2 linked regions of the Rhinolophus ferrumequinum genome follow. The protein of the gene in region 2 purifies or fractionates together with the protein of the main gene of each other region. This does not show direct contact. Links are inferred from orthologs where the notes say so. Each region holds a gene or a part of one and is shown on either strand. Other genes may lie near its edges.

What was found.
Region 1: the proteins of NUFIP1 (region 2) and ZNHIT6 purify together in Homo sapiens (affinity purification with western blotting; 3 studies listed by BioGRID and IntAct, with this or other methods). This does not show direct contact. The link is inferred for Rhinolophus ferrumequinum from reciprocal best matches to the Homo sapiens genes NUFIP1 and ZNHIT6.

Annotation. Positions count from the first base shown.
Region 1 is NC_046292.1:64,429,687-64,437,844, reverse strand, and holds the start of ZNHIT6 (box C/D snoRNA protein 1), read left to right. Parts: upstream 1-4,952; 5' UTR 4,953-5,037; coding exon 5,038-5,858; intron 5,859-7,177; coding exon 7,178-7,243; intron 7,244-7,329; coding exon 7,330-7,436; intron 7,437-7,521; coding exon 7,522-7,607; intron 7,608-8,158. UniProt on the Homo sapiens protein: Required for box C/D snoRNAs accumulation involved in snoRNA processing, snoRNA transport to the nucleolus and ribosome biogenesis.
Region 2 is NC_046287.1:5,885,979-5,893,655, forward strand, and holds the start of NUFIP1 (FMR1-interacting protein NUFIP1), read left to right. Parts: upstream 1-4,543; 5' UTR 4,544-4,560; coding exon 4,561-4,948; intron 4,949-7,226; coding exon 7,227-7,309; intron 7,310-7,677. Other genes in the region: GPALPP1 (GPALPP motifs-containing protein 1), read right to left, coding at 4,252-4,339. UniProt on the Homo sapiens protein: Binds RNA.

The DNA.
Region 1 (8,158 bases), on a different chromosome or scaffold from region 2:
GCTGCTGTTTTAAATTATAAAAGCTTTATATTTGTGCTTCTTAGAAATTACATGTTTTTATAGTATTCATTGATTTTCTTTCACTGTTCTTAAATTTAATGTGTTGGGACCTAAAAGAATTAAATTTATCAATCTTTTAAGCAAAATCCAGAAAAAAAATAAAACAGTCTTTTGCCATTTAAAATAGGCTCATCCAATTCAGACTTTTCTTGTTGCCAGAGAAATGTTAGTTCACTATTAGAAGAAAAATATTATACCTTTGGTATTTAGAAAAGCTTGTACATTCATTATAAACATACCTTTAGCTGCAGCAAACCACACTTACCTATCTATAATAAAAATTTGCTTTAAATTTGTTTTGGTGGTATTTGTTTTTCTTCTTTTGTTGCCATATACTTTTATTATATATGATAGCCCCTCTGGTACAGCCCTTCTCTAAAATATACATATATATATATATATATATATATATATATATATATATATATATATATGCATTATTGCAAAGTGTCTGTTACATACCTATAAAAGGATTATATGGCCTATTTCCCATTTGCACAAAATGAGATCATGACACAGAAATAAACTCTTCCATATGTGGTCAATTGATTTTCAATAAGGGTGGGAAGATCATTCAATGGGAAAAAGGAAAGATTTTTTCAACAAATGCTGCTGGGAAAACTGTATATCCACATGCAAAAGAATGAAGTTGGACCCTTACCTTACATCATATATAAAAATTAACTCAAAATCCTAAATGTAAGAGCTAAAACTTTAAAACTCTTAGGAGAAAACATAGGGGAAAAGGTTTCATGACATTGGACTTGGCACTGACTTCTTAGAGATGACACTGAAAGCACAATCAAAAAAGAAAACAGTAAATTGAACTACATCAAAATTTAAAACTTCTGTGCATCAAAAGACATTGTCAAGAAAGTGAAAGCTATCCCACAGAATGGGAGAAAATATTTGCAAATCATGCATCTGATAAGGGATTATTATCCAGAATGTATAAAGAACTCCTACAACTCAAACAAACAAAAAGAAAAACCAAGCAACCCAATTGAAAAATGGGCAAAGGACTTAATAGAAACTTCTCCAAAGCAGATAGTATACAAATGGACAACAAATGAAAAGATACTCAACTTCACTAGTCATTAGGAAAATACAAATCAAAACCAGTTAGATACCACTTCACACCCATCAGGATGGCTATTATCCAGAGAGAGAGAGAAAGAAAGTAACAAGTGTTGGTGAGGTTGTGGATATACTGGAAACCTGTACATTGTTGATGGGATTGTAAAATGGTGCAGCCACTGTGGAAAAAAGTTTGGCAGTTCCTCAAAGTTAAACATGGAATTACCATATGATCCAGAAATTCTTCTTCATGTATGCATACTCAAAAGAATTGAAAGAAGGGACTCAAGCAGATATTTGTACACCAGTGTTCATAGAGGTATTATTCAGAATATCCAAAAGATGGAAACAACCCAAGTGTGCATAAACAAAATGTGGTTTGTACATGCAATGGAATATTATTCAGCCTTAAAAAGAAATGAAATTCTGATACATGCGACAACATTGATGTACCTTAAAAACATGCTAAGTTAAATAAGCTAGACAAGGAAAAAAGGACAAATATTGTATGATTCCACCTATATAAAATACATGAATAGAACAAATTCAGAGACAGAAAATACAATAGAGGTTACCAGAGATGCTGGGTGAGGTGGGAATGGGGAATTATTTTTAAATGAGTACAGAGTTTCTGTTTAGGATGATGACAAATTTCTGGAGATAGATGGTAATGAAGCTTGCACAACAATATGAATGTACTTAATGCAACTGAATGGTGTACTTTATTGATTAAAATGACCAATTTTATGTAGTATATTTTGCCATAGTTTTTTCTAATGGAGTTATGGCAAAGATGTATGATTTCCTGCTTAAGGAACATAGAAATGTTTTTAAAACAGTGAAGGTTTATTTTAAAGGAAGGAAACCATAGTTTTAAATTCTAGTTTCAGTCTACATGCTATTACCTTTTGTTACCTCCCCAAAAAAAGAGACCTATTTTAGAGACCTAAATGATTTCCTAGATATAATTTAAGAAATATATATAAAATAGAAATACTTTGTTTCTTTTGTTTCTAAAATATTAATTTTAAAGTAAATTTGAATCAACTTAATCATAGGCAGTATAGTACCCTGTTTCCCTGAATATAAGACCTAGCCAGATAATCAGCTCTAATGCGTCTTTTGGAGCAAAAATTAATATAAGACTGGGTATTTTATTATATTGTAAAGACCCAGTCTTATAGTAAAATAAAACCAGGTCTTATATTAATTCTTGCTCCAAAAGACACATTAGAGCTGATTGTCCAGCTGGGTCTTATTTTCAGGGAAACACGGTAGTAGCAGAGTGCTCTGAGGAGTAGCTGTGTGACATATATTCATCATTGAGTGTATTATATAGTATATTCATCATTGCCTCAGTTTCTTCACTGTAAAATGGGGATAATAAAAGTAAAAGTCTGTATTAGTTAGGATTCTCCAGAGAAACAGAACTGGTAGGAAAGATAGATATAGAGATATAGATTTTATAGATTTTATATATATATATGTATATATATATATATAAACTATGTTATAATACATTATATATTAAATGTATATGTATTACAATAATAATATATATACACATATATATACATAATATGGAGATTTATTGTGACGAATTGACTCACATGATTATGGAAGCTGAGAAGTCCCACAATCTGTTGTCTGAAAGCTGGAGACCCAGGAAAGCTATGGCGTAATTCAGTTAGGTCTAAAGGGCTGAGAACCAGGGGAGTCAGTGGTTTAAAACCCATTCCAGGGGCTGGAGAAGATGAGATGTCCCAACTCAAGTAGGCAAACAGAAAGCAAAAGGGAGCACATTCCTCCTTTTTCTGCCTTTTGTTCTACTCACGCTCTCAAATGATTGGATGGTGCCCACCCACATGGGGGAGGGCTATTTACTGAGTCCACTGATTCAAATGCTAATCTCATCCAGAAACACCCTCACAGACACCGAAAAATAATTTGTAATCTGGAATGCCCAGTACAGAGACCTGAGACTAATGTTAGGGTATTATAGCAAGAAGGTTCAATCCTATACTGAAGGAGCCAGGCTTATACAGAGCTTTACTCCACTGAGGTGGAAAAGGGAGGGAAAAGGATTTCAGGAATTGGATAGGAATTCAGTGACAGCCCCACGTACCTTCTGCCTCCCTTTCTCTGTCCCTGCCCTGTCTCTGTTCTTGCAGGCAATACCCTGGCTCAATACTCCCACAACCCAAAGTTCCCTCCTCCAGAGCTACTCAAGCCTCACTTTTCCTTCAAAACTGCCATTCAAGGATACCACCACAACCTCCAATATCTCCATTAAAACTATAGTCCCACAGTGTTGATTGTTTAATTTAGGTGATTAGCTGTGATGCTACCAAGGATCCTCTCTGGTGTAACGATTTCCCTTCCAGGGACTGTGAAAAAAAATACACAGATTATAAGAACAAATGAAGGAAATGACAAAAGTTCCAAATTTTACAAAGTCTTTATGCTTCTGATCTGTAGGTCCAGAAATTTCTCTGGAAATCCAGATGGTTTTATTCTGGATCAACACTCCCTCTCATTGCTCCCATCTCCCAAACCTTGTCTTTATCAAGGCCACCAGGATTCTTTCTGTCATTTAGCCCCTTTTCGTAAGTGTAAACATATCATCTAGCCTGAAAATCCAGTCAGGCTCCTTTTGACTTTGTAGACGGCTGACACCTCTAAGTATCTCCAAAAGAGGCTATGATTCCTCGAGAAGTTTCTTCCTCACAATCCATACAAAGATGTTACTAAACTCTCTCAACTTCAATCCTCCTTCCAGCACTGTTCAAACGGTCGTGCCCCAACTAAGGTTTTATAATTACTCCTTCATTCTGCTCATCCATTCAAAATTCCCATTCCCTGAGCAATGTGTGAATGAATGATAACAGCTAAATGCCCTCCAAATTATGACAGGATTTGAGGGGGGAGTGCAAAGCAGCCCACAGCTACCAAGCCATTTCTTTGGAGTCTCCTTGTGCAGTGAGAAAAATATATCACAGACATGATGTGAAGATTAAGTGAATTGCCTACATTATTATTATAATGTAATAATAATTTTAAAGAGTAATTGAAACATTCTGTGTATTTTTGTATTTTTTAGATCTTCTAGTCCTGGGGATTGAATTTTGGGCCCAGTTTTTAAATAGGGAGTGTGTGTGTGTGTATATATATATATATATGTATCATATAGATACATATGATATAGATATATAGATATAACTCTAAGATTACATATATACATATATGTGTATGTGTATGTTAGTAGTATATATAGAATCCTGTAGGATGCTGGGAGTGGGGCACTGGTCGATGTGGGCTATTACTGACAAATAATTGAAAGAACGAAAGTTAATGCTTTCTTTCCTATCTGAAACCTATAGGGATTCTCAGTAATAATAGCCCCGTATATTGAGTTTGTTTCAGTCACTGCTAGCTTATTTCCATGCAGGATTCCATTTGATCTTTACAATAATCCTAAGAGATTTGCAATACCGTCGTGTCTAGTTTCTAGGTGAAGAAACTGAAGATTGGAGAGGTGTAACATAAGGTATTTCTTCCATTTTCATACAAGATTAATCTTTAATATAAATCAGGGTGGATCTTTCCATTCCAAGATAATGGGTTTAGCTTGTCTCTCCGCCCGGATCCTCCAGTTTTCACAGAGAGGAATGTAGTCACGCGCAGAAGGTGTGGCGGGAAGCGGCCTCCCCAGGGGAAGGATTTGGCGAAGCCCCGCCCCGAAGGCGGGACCGTGGTGGGCGTGGCCTCATGACAATTTGGAGTATCTGGGCCGGGCCGCTGCAGAGCCGTAAAGAACTCTACGAGTCGTGAAGTGGCGAAGCGCGGAAGTGTTGCTTTACGACGATTTGGAGGAACACGCCAGGCCGGCGCTCACTGCTTATGACTTCTCTGCCCCACACGTGGGCCGCTGTCGGTGATCCCGCCGGTAGCTCATACTGTTGGCGTGGACCAGCCATACTGGAGGACAGAGTGGCAGCGGATGCCAGGGGTCGTGAGCTGATGGATTTTGCTGCCGAGAATGAAGGAACGTCGGGAGGCGGTCTCCAGATTGGAGCTGAAGGGGCGCGGCTCTGTCTCCAGTCCTGTACGGAGGGAGTCAGGTCCGTAGCAGGGACCGAGGAGGCCTGCGGTGGAGAGGCGGGTTATGAACTGACAGGACTGGGAAAGATAGGGAGTAGAGAAGAAGGAAGTGGACAAAAGGCAGAGCAAATGCGAATGGACCTATCGGTTGTGAAGCAAGAAGTTATGGACTGGTCGGAAATGAAAGAAGGTATGCTGGACGGCCAGTGGGTAAAGCAGGAGGTGGAGGATGGGCCAGAGGTGAAGGAGGAGAAACCGGACACATTGGAGGTGAAGGAGGAGAAACCGGACACATCGGAGGTGAAGCAGGAGATAGGTAGTAGTTTGGTGGTAAAAGAAGAGAAAATGAATGAGCCAGAGGTGAAGGAAGAGAAAGTGAAAGTAAAGGAAGAGGTGATGGACTGGCTAGAGGTGAAGGAAGAGAAGAAAGAAAACTTGGAGATAAAACAGGAGGAGGCGTTTGTTGGTCAGAACATAAAAGAGGAGGTAATGATGGATGAGGTGTGTGTAAAAGAAGAAAAGTATTTCCCGAAGCAAGAAATGATGGATGATACAAAGGTGAAAGAAGAGCCTCAGATAAGTTGCCCAGTGGGCTCCAAGCGGAAACTGGCCATGTCAAGGTAAGGCAGGGAGATACCCAGTGGAGGAATAAAGCTGTGGAGTTGTCTCATGTCTAGATCGGAGGAAACTACACTACCAGCGCTGTGTGGAATAATGGAAAAGAAGCACAAATCTGGGGCTCCTAGAGCCTGAGTGGTGAAAGTGGGGAATTGGTAAGGGAGGGTTTTGTCAGGTGGCAACAAATTCAGTGAAAATCAGAGGTTGTTAGTGTCCGGTGAGCAAATTAGGAGGTGAAAATTGTGGAAACCAGAAAACCTGTGGACCAGATTCTGGCTTGACTAACTACTATGCTCTTGATTCAGTATCTTGAGAGAGGATAAACATGAGAGAAAAATCTCATAAAACCAACAATGACAGAGTGGATTGAGTTAAAATTAGACAAAATGCACTTGAACTCACCCAATTGTCCAGTTTCTGTATGGGTACTATGAATATTTACTACTTTTGATTTAATTTCCAAATAGTGTGTAATCCTGTGGCCGCATAGGAAATAAAAGTGTGGTCAAATTCTTGGGACTGTTACTGTCTAGGACACAATAGGCGAAATAGAAGTAGCTGTAGTTTGGTTGTCAGTATCCCAAGATCCTAGAAGAGCAGTTGAAGACAGGTGATGCGTAATAGCATTTCAAGATTATTTTGATGCCCATTCTAGGTTGGGGGTGGGGTTGAGGAAAAAAGATGCAACTTCTTTTTTTTTTTATTAATTTATTTTTAATTTATTGGGGTGACAATTGTTAGTAAAATTACATAGATTTCAGGTGTGCAATTCTGTATCACATCATCCATAAATCACACTGTGTGTTCACCACCCAGAGTCAGCTCCCCTTCCATCTTGAGATAAACGAAAATGAAAACACGGCAACTTCTTTTTACTGTCTAAATTCGATTGGGTCTTACATTCTTCTACTGGTGTGTGTGCCTTTAAGATAGCTAAACATAGCTAGCTCATGGATTGGACTTCTGGGTATAATATGCACACACTCACACAATCTTTAGCAGATTGCCGGGAATTACAAGTTAAAATATCATTGAAAATCTCATTCTCTGATTATAGTAGAAAAAGAAGTCAAAGGTGAGACGATTTTTTTAAAATTTAATACATTTTTTAAATTACATGTCATTAACAATATTATAAATGTAATTGTCATTTGGAGACAGTTTCCAGCTATTAAGTATTTTATCAGTTACATGCATTATACTTTACTCACTACGACTATCTCTGTAAATTGATTGTGATGAGTAATTAAGTCAGATTAAGTTTATAAACAAATAGGGAGAATTAATATTTGATAATTAAATTTCATATGGGCTTTTATAGGTGTGAAACTTGTGGTACAGAAGAAGCAAAATACAGATGTCCACGTTGTATGCGATATTCTTGCAGGTATATATGTAATTTCCTACCTTATTACCTCTATCTGTACTTTTGTTACCTCCAAGTATAAAAGTACTTCCTCTTTGTCTCTTTAGTTTGCCCTGTGTAAAGAAGCACAAAGCAGAACTGACATGTAATGGAGTTCGAGATAAAACTGCATATGTTTCAGTACAACAGTTTACTGAAATGAATCTCTTAAGTGGTAAGCCATCTTATGCATAGCAGATTGATGTTTTCTAGAAATTGACACATATCATTTGTTTATTTTTCTATTTTGAAATTTGCAGATTATAGATTTTTGGAAGATGTGGCAAGAACAGCAGACCATATTTCCAGAGATGCTTTACTGAAAAGACCATTAAGCAATAAACATGTAAGTATTTCTTCTAATCCATTCTTATTAGAATTCCTTCTGATTAGATTCATTTTTTTCACTCAGCAAATAAATGTATTAAGTAGCTACCATGGTCTCAGACTATTCCAGTTACTAGGATACAGCAGTGACCAAAACGAAGTCCTTCCCCTCATGGAGCTTGTAGGGATAGAGACAGGAGATAAGTAGAAGAACAAATATAATTTCAGATATAGTTAAATGCATGTGGAAAATAAAGAAAGCACAGGAGGTTAAAGAAAATGAGAATGGTGTTTGTTGGGTGGAAGTTGTGAGGGTACCATTTTTGATACAGTGGTCAGGAGAAGTTCCTCTGAGAGGTGACATTTAAGCAGCGATCTGAATGATGAGAAAGAAGCAGTCATGTGAACATTTGGCCGAAGACTTACCAGGTAAAAACAAAAGCAAAAATAAAGACTCTGAATCAAGAATGAGGTTGGTGTGTTTGAGGAATTAAAAAAGGAGTGAGGTGACTGAAGCATAGCTGACAGGAGAATGTCGAACATGAGTTCAGAGAAACTGGTGAGGGTTCT
Region 2 (7,677 bases):
CCCTTTCTTCCACCTCCCCTTCTGCCCCCCACTCCGGTTCAAGCCGTTGTTTCTCAGTCTAGTTGCGTAGGACACAGCTCCCTGGCCCATGCTGGTATTACGAGTCTTGCGCTCCCCCCGCCGGCTGAGGCAGTAGGTCCACGGTCGTTGGTCGCCGCTCACAGCAGCCTGCGGCAGCACACACCAACCTTCAGCTGCTCACAGTAGCCCAGCTCCAGGGAGAGCTGTTGTTATCTTAGCTGTAAAGGGTGCAGCTCACTGGCCCATGTGGGAATTGAACCAGCGACCTTGGTGTTAGGAGCACGGCGCTCCAACCACCTGATATTCTGGGCCGGCCCCAAAATATCTTTTTAAGAAAAGATTCTGGGCTGTTTCCCCAATGACCTGACTCAGTTGGCCTGGAAATATGATTTTCCAAAGAGCTTGCCAGGTATGCTGTTCATTCACAATTAAAAGTAACAAAAACTTAAAAATAATAAATAAAAGAAAAACTACATGTCTTGAGTTCTGATGTGAGAATTCCATATCCCTTCTTGAAGATTCTGATTGGAAATCACTACACTGGGTAAGTACCGAATTTTTCCTACAAGAATAAAATTTCCATGCTGCTAAATCAAATGGAACTTTTTCAGTCTTCATCTTACCTGAAACATATGAGTGTGGCTCACTCCCCTAAAACTGTCTTTTCTTCTGGCTTCTGATACCCCACTCTCAATTGTGTCCTGTCTTTTGGGCTGCTCCTCCTTTCTCCTCAACTAGTTTATCTTCTGCTAAACCTCCAAGTGTTAAAAATTCTCAAAGCTCAGTCTTAGGTCCCATTCTCTCCCCCAAGTGACCATATTTGCACCCACCTTTAATTATCACATACTGTGTTTCCCCAAAAATAAGACCTAGCCGGACAATCAACTCTAATGCGTCTTTTGGAGCAAAAATTAATGTAATACCTGGTCTTAGATCTTATATAAGACCGGGACTTATATAAGACCGGGACTGATGCGATAAAATACGAAGTACACAGCTTTCTAAAATACAATATTTTCTTCATAACCAAAATATTCTTAGAATCATTTATTCTTATTTTGTTGTCTTATGGTCATCGTTTGGTGTATCATGTGTATCTTTATAAATTAGAAATTTGAGACACTGAGAGTGTACTGTTTAATTATTATTATTATTTTTTACTTTGGAAATGAGACTCTAAATTCAAGTTTCTTAAACTAGATGCACAGGCCAACAAGCACATGAGGAGATGCTCAAAAATAAGTAACATTAGGGAAATGCAAATCGAAACCACAATGAGCTATCACTTCATATCCATCAGAATGGCTATTATTAAAAAAAAATAACAACAGAAAGTAACAAGAGTGGGTGAGGATATGGAGAAATTGGAACCCCAGTGTATTCCTGGGAATGTAAAATTGTGCAGCTTTTATGTAAAACACTATGGTGGTTCCTCAAAAAGTTAAGCACAGAACTACCATATGATCCAGTAATTCCACTTCTAGGTATATACTCAGAAGAACTGAAAACAGGGACTCAGGTAGACATTTATACCCATGGTCATAGCAGCATTATTCATAATGGCCAAAAGGTGAAAACAACCCGTGTCCATAAACAGATGAATAGATACACAAAATGTGGTCCATACAGTATATACATACATGGAACATTATTCAGCCTTAGAAAGGAAGGAATTCCTGACACATGCTACAACAAAGATGAACCTTGAAGACATTTATGCTAAGTGAAATAAGCCAGTCGCACAAGGACAAATATTATATGACTATTTAAATGGGGGTAGTCAAATTGACAGAGTTCGTACTATATTTTTCTATTTACATAAAGCACAAACGCATGCAAAACTTACCTCTGATGTTATAAATCTGGATGGTGGTTACCCTTTGGTTGAAAGAGGGAGGAGGCAGGTAGCAACTGGAAGATGGCCCCAGGGGATATAGTGAATTTCAAGGATACTGGTATTGATAAACTTTTTGAAAGTCCAGATATAAGAAGAATGAGATCAAAAACTGACATCTGAAGATTTTTTTGGCAATTGTTTTAGGATCAACCATCTAGGCAGTTATGAAGGAAATGGAATTATCATAAGTGGGATTATGTGTTAAAAAATGACATGTGCAAGATACTGTGCTTGATAAAGAGGTAGTCATTCAACAAGCATTACAAAGGATCTTTTATGTGCCAGACAGGTTGGGGCAAGGTATAGGGGGATATACACAGGTACACAGTGTTAAATGCTGAAGGTGGGGGTGGGAGCGAATGCACACACAAAACAAGCAAATAGGAGACAGTGGACAGAGAATACCTGGAGTAACTGCTGGTAGAATGATGGAAGCAAATCATAACAGAAGTATCTAATTGGGAGATGGTGGTTGCTTACCTGCAAATCCTGCCTTGGTTTCAAATCTGGGAATATGGTGAACCAAAAGCAACATACATGTGGGAACCCAACTAAAAACCTTGGTTAACCTCACTTTTATTCAACCATGGCTGAATGGAACCTTCCTTGCTAAAATAAAAGCCTGACCTTTTAACAACTGTAACAGAAAGGAGATCTGGAAGGAAACCTCTAGGTGGAAACATGGCCTTTGGGTAGTCAAATTGGATTGAGAAATGGGAGTTACTCTTTTCCAACTTTGGTCAGTCAGTCCCAGTCTACACATCAGAACAAACATTAGAGGAGACGGATATGCACGGAGGAGTGTGAGAAGCATTTACTTGGCCAATGAAAAATGCCTACTGTGTTAAGGCCAGAAAACCATAGTGCAATAGTGGAGACAGATAAGTCAACAAGTTATTCAAAAACAATGTATTACATGTGACATGATTAAGTAGAAAAAACTCTGTGGGTAAAGAAGAAGGCGTGATAATGCTTGCTTGGAAGAGTTTGGTAAGGCTTCACTACGGTGACATTTAAGTTGGGCCTTCAAGGATTGGATAGGAGTTTGCCAGGCATGTCAGGAAGTGCAGAGTGAAGCCAGAAGGAGCTTAGAGAATTGAGGAACTGTGCAGAAACTCGGACTGGTTTGAGAACTGGGCTGTGTGTGTCAGATGCAATGACAGAACCAGAGGCTAGGAAGGCAGGTCGGGGGCTAGAGAGCAAAACGTCTTCTCCAAGAGTCAGGGCATTGTGCATCCGAAGGCAATTAAGACACAAAAGTTAAGAGTACTGGTTTTGTTCTAATCGGGGCTCTACCACTTACTAGCTGTGTGATCTGGGCAACAGCCTGGGCCTCAGTGTCTCCGATTATAACGAAAAAGGGGGCTGAGCAATAAATCTGACAAACGCGGTGGGGGTGGGGGGAGAAGAAAGCACATGGCAGGCCTGACAAGCTCAGTGACCAAAAGTAACCACACAGGATGATCTGATCACAAATTCCTAGCTGGGCAGGTCGCAGCGGGTAGTCACACGCCAGGCCTATAGCTTCCTTAGTGAAGGTCAATCTTCAGCTTAAGTGAATCCTGTCCATTGTTCTTATGTAAGTAGAATAACATGCCTCTGAAATGGCAGAGTAATTTTTTTTCTAGACCCCTCAAAGGCACAGCCGCAGGCTCCAGAGCACAAGACCATAGAACCCCTCATCATCTTGTTCCCCCCGTACTATCTCTGTACTGTAAATGTTAAGTATCCTGTACCCACCAACATAAATGTTTCCTCATTTTGCTTTTTATTCAATCCTAGAGATTTCCCTGCTTTGCCTTAATCTACCCCCTCCTTGATCTACCACCAATAGATTTCATGTAGCTTCCTTACGTTTTCGCATCTGATTCTAAATACATAAAAGAAACTGCAAAACTTATTCTCAGGAGCATTTTCTCAACCCGTTGAGATCTTGCTTCCCGGCATGTCCTCAAAAAATTTGGCTCAAATAAACTCTTATAAAACTTTTGTATAGGTTTGGAAGTTCTTTTGTAAACAGCAGTAATAACCTTTACCTTACACAGTTGCTGGATTAAACGACTGAAAGTGTATGGATAGCTGCGCACAGCGTCCAGCCTACTCTGCGTTCAATGGGAACGTTATGATGATTAGGAGGCTAAAACTCGTTTCTGAACCCCCCCGCCCACGGCCTCCTCCCCACTGTTACAGCTGGAGAAAGAAGGTTACCCAGGGCGGCAGCGGCCGCTCCCCACTCCTCCGCCCTCCAGGCCTCAGACCTTCACTCAGAGAGCAAGGCCGGGCCAGAGGAGGGGCGGGCGGGCTTGGCGAGCAGGGGACGCGCGGCGGCTCACCGGGGCTGGGGTCCCGCTCCTTGTCCTCCGCGGTCCCGAGGGCCTTGAAGCCCGGCGGCAGAGCTGGGCCGATCAGATCCCTCGCCATGCGCGGCTGCGGACACTGGTAACGCAGGCAAGTCTCTCCTCGCAGAGCGAAACCCACTCAAAACGCAGCCCGCGATCCGTCGCAAGTGCTGGAAGTTTTTCCGGCGCCCACCAATGACATTGCAGCCTGTGATTGGCTGAGACGTGTAATTCGCCACAACGGAAGTGACGCATAAATCGTGTTCCACATTCGCACGCCGGATTCCCTTCCTGGCGGGCGGCATGGCTGAGCCGGCTAGTGATTTCGTGACTTCCCCGGGCTGGTGTTCAGCCCCCGAGCCGACCCCCACGGTGGGGCTTCTGAGCGACACTGCGCCGCTGCGGGACAATTGGATGCTCTGGGCCATGTGGCCGCCGCCGCCACCGCCTTCGTCGTCGCCTCCCGCGGGAGGGTCAGAGCCGTCCTCGGAGGCGCAGCTCCTCGTGGACACCCGCTTGCACGCCCAGATTCTTCCCGGGGCGCAGCCCCACTTGGACACCCAGTCCCGCCTGGATTCTCAGCCTCAAATCAACGGGCAGCCTTCCTGGCATTTCCAGGCTTCGACATCATGGTACTGGAGACAGTCTCCTGGTAGTGTCCCTTGGCATCAGAAGTCCCACAACACTCCAGGTAGGCTCTTACTCCGCTCCATGCACCCCCCTTCCCTTCTTCTCCCCTTTTCTCTCTCCCATTTCTCCTTCCCCCCCTCTTTGCACTTCTGATTCTGCGTTGCACTCTGGGAGTCTGCTCATTAATGTCTCACAATTTGTCCGACAGGAATTTCCCTCGCCTGTTCATTCGGTTTAGCAGTTATTTGTTGAATTCCACGATGTATCGGGAACTGGGAATGTAGTAGTGAACGAAACATACGAAAATCCTTATCTGTATGGAGCATAATCTCTGGTTTAGGAAGACAAACAAGGTGAAGCCGTGTGTGTGAGACGGCAGTGAGTGCTACGGAGGGAGATAAAGCGAAGAAGAAGGATAGATAGTGCAGGTTTAAATGTCAGTGTCAGCCATGAGGAAGGTGACATTGGAGCAGAGACTTCAGGGAGGGGAGAGACCAGATGGTGGTACGTCTGGGAGATGGGGATACAGGCCGAAGGAACTGCAACTGCAAAGGCCTTGAGGCAGGAGCTATAGATCGGACTGGAAGCTGGTGTGGCTAGAGGGAACTGAGCCCGGGTTAGAACTGGAGAAAATCGGGGAGGAGGGCAGACCTGTTAGGGCCTTGTAGATGATGGCACTTTGGTTTTTCCTGTTGTGACATGCCTAGTGCAGGGGAGTGACATGATTTGATTTATGTTTTAAAAGGGTTAACGTGACTACTGATGGGAATTGATTGGAAGGGAGACCAGTGAGGAAGTTATTGCAGTTCTCCAGGTGAGAGGTATCAGGGCCCTGGACCAGGGTGCAGCTCAGGAGGTGATGAGAAGTAGTTGGATTCTAGACGTATTTTGGAGGTAGGGTAGGACCAAAATGATTTGCTGAAGGATTGGAGATGGGAGTGAGGTAAAGGGGAGACAAGAATAATTTTCAAGTTTTTTGCCAAACAAGTGGGAGGGAGGATGGTGGGTGGAGCAGATTTGGACAGAAGATCAAGAACTGAGTTTGGAATACGCATGTGTCAAGTAGACATGTTAAATAGGCAGTTGGCCAGTAGTTTGTACTTTCAGGGGAGATTTGGCTGGAGCTGTAAACGTGGGTGTCATCAGCATATAGATCATATTGAAAGCCATGAGATTGTTTTCTTAAAACCATTCTCTAACTCCGCATATGATTCAGTTTACATTAAATTGAACACAAACCAGTGTTTACTGTGCACCAAATGCTGGAAATACGAGTGTGCCTAAGGCAGTCCTAAGTCAGGTGAGATGGGTTCATAAATACCGGGGGTGCCAAAAAAACGTATACACATTTTAAGAGATGTTATCTATGTATTACTTTTCGAAGTTGAATTGCGTAGCAATGTATAGTATGATGTTCACGCAAACGGCGTTAATCAAATGAATGCTAGCGCATTCGTTGTATTACAATTTTAATACAGTTTTTCTTCTTTTCTTAAAATGTGTATACATTTTTTTTGGTACCCTCTGTATAAATCACAATACAGTGTGACTGGTGATGGAGCCATATAGATTGTGATTTCAGAGAGTGGCACAGTTGGGAAAAGGATTTGGAAGAAGTGTCTTGGGAGATATTTAGTCAGAGATACTTTTTAGGTGGAAACAAAGAGGTATCAGTACAAGGTGAGTCCTGAAGATTGCAGTGTTCCGGTGTGACTGAAGCAGCGTAGGGGGAGGGTGTGGGAGAAGGGTGATAACATAAACCGGGATCTCATTGAAGGGCTCTAGGACGTCATTTGCAGATTTTCAGCAGGGTTGTGACAATTGGAGGATTATTTTTGTGGTGTCAGTGTGCAGGGTCTGTTGGAAGAAAGGACTTGGGAGCTGGAAGACAATTTGGGAGGCTGTCCCAATAATCTAGATGAAAGGTCAGGGTTTCAGAGTTGGGTAATGGCAATAAGAAAAAAATCTGAGGGAAAATGTATTTCACAAGGTTCTGTTTTCCTGGTTAAAATTGTTGGTCAAAGACCTGTATTACCAGGGGTTTTACTGTTTGCATTTCTAATGTTTGAAATAACCACAAGGAATTTTATTGGTTTAGCTTGTGCATTACTTAGACTCTAATGCATTTGTGGACACTTAGTCTTACCACTGTTATTAAGTTGAAAAATATTCATTTGGTAGACCAGTCTTAATCTTTGTTAATTTGTTCAAACTGCTATTCTTCCTAGAGGAGGTAGTTTACCACTCTTCTTACTCAAGTACTTACGACATGCTACAGCAAATAAAATTTTAAATAATTGTATCGTTGTGAACATTTATGGATCTCTTTTTGTTTTCAGTTAAACATTCTTATCTTCCACGAAACTATGATGCAAAGTTCACTGACTTCAACAGCCCTCCCAGCAGAAAACAGAAGAAAAAGGTATTTTGAAGATGTTCTTAAATGGACCACTTTGGTCCCTATATTGCTCTTTCCTGTCTTGTGTTGCTGTCATAACTCTCAGTGTTTTGCCTCCATTACTGACGCAGTGGAGCCTTGCTATAGTAGGATCTTTAAGGATCTTAACTGTAAGTAAATATTTCAGGCAAAATCTTTTTGAGAAATAAATGGAGAAATTATAGAAAGTGAAAACATTGAATCCATTTCAATGGAGTATCGAGTAAATGTAATTGAGGATTATGATTACAGATGAATAAATGTTATTAAACCTCGATGAAGTAAAAAATATATAAATTATACATAACATACACATATTACTAGAAGATTGAGAGGGGAGGGATGGAATTAAA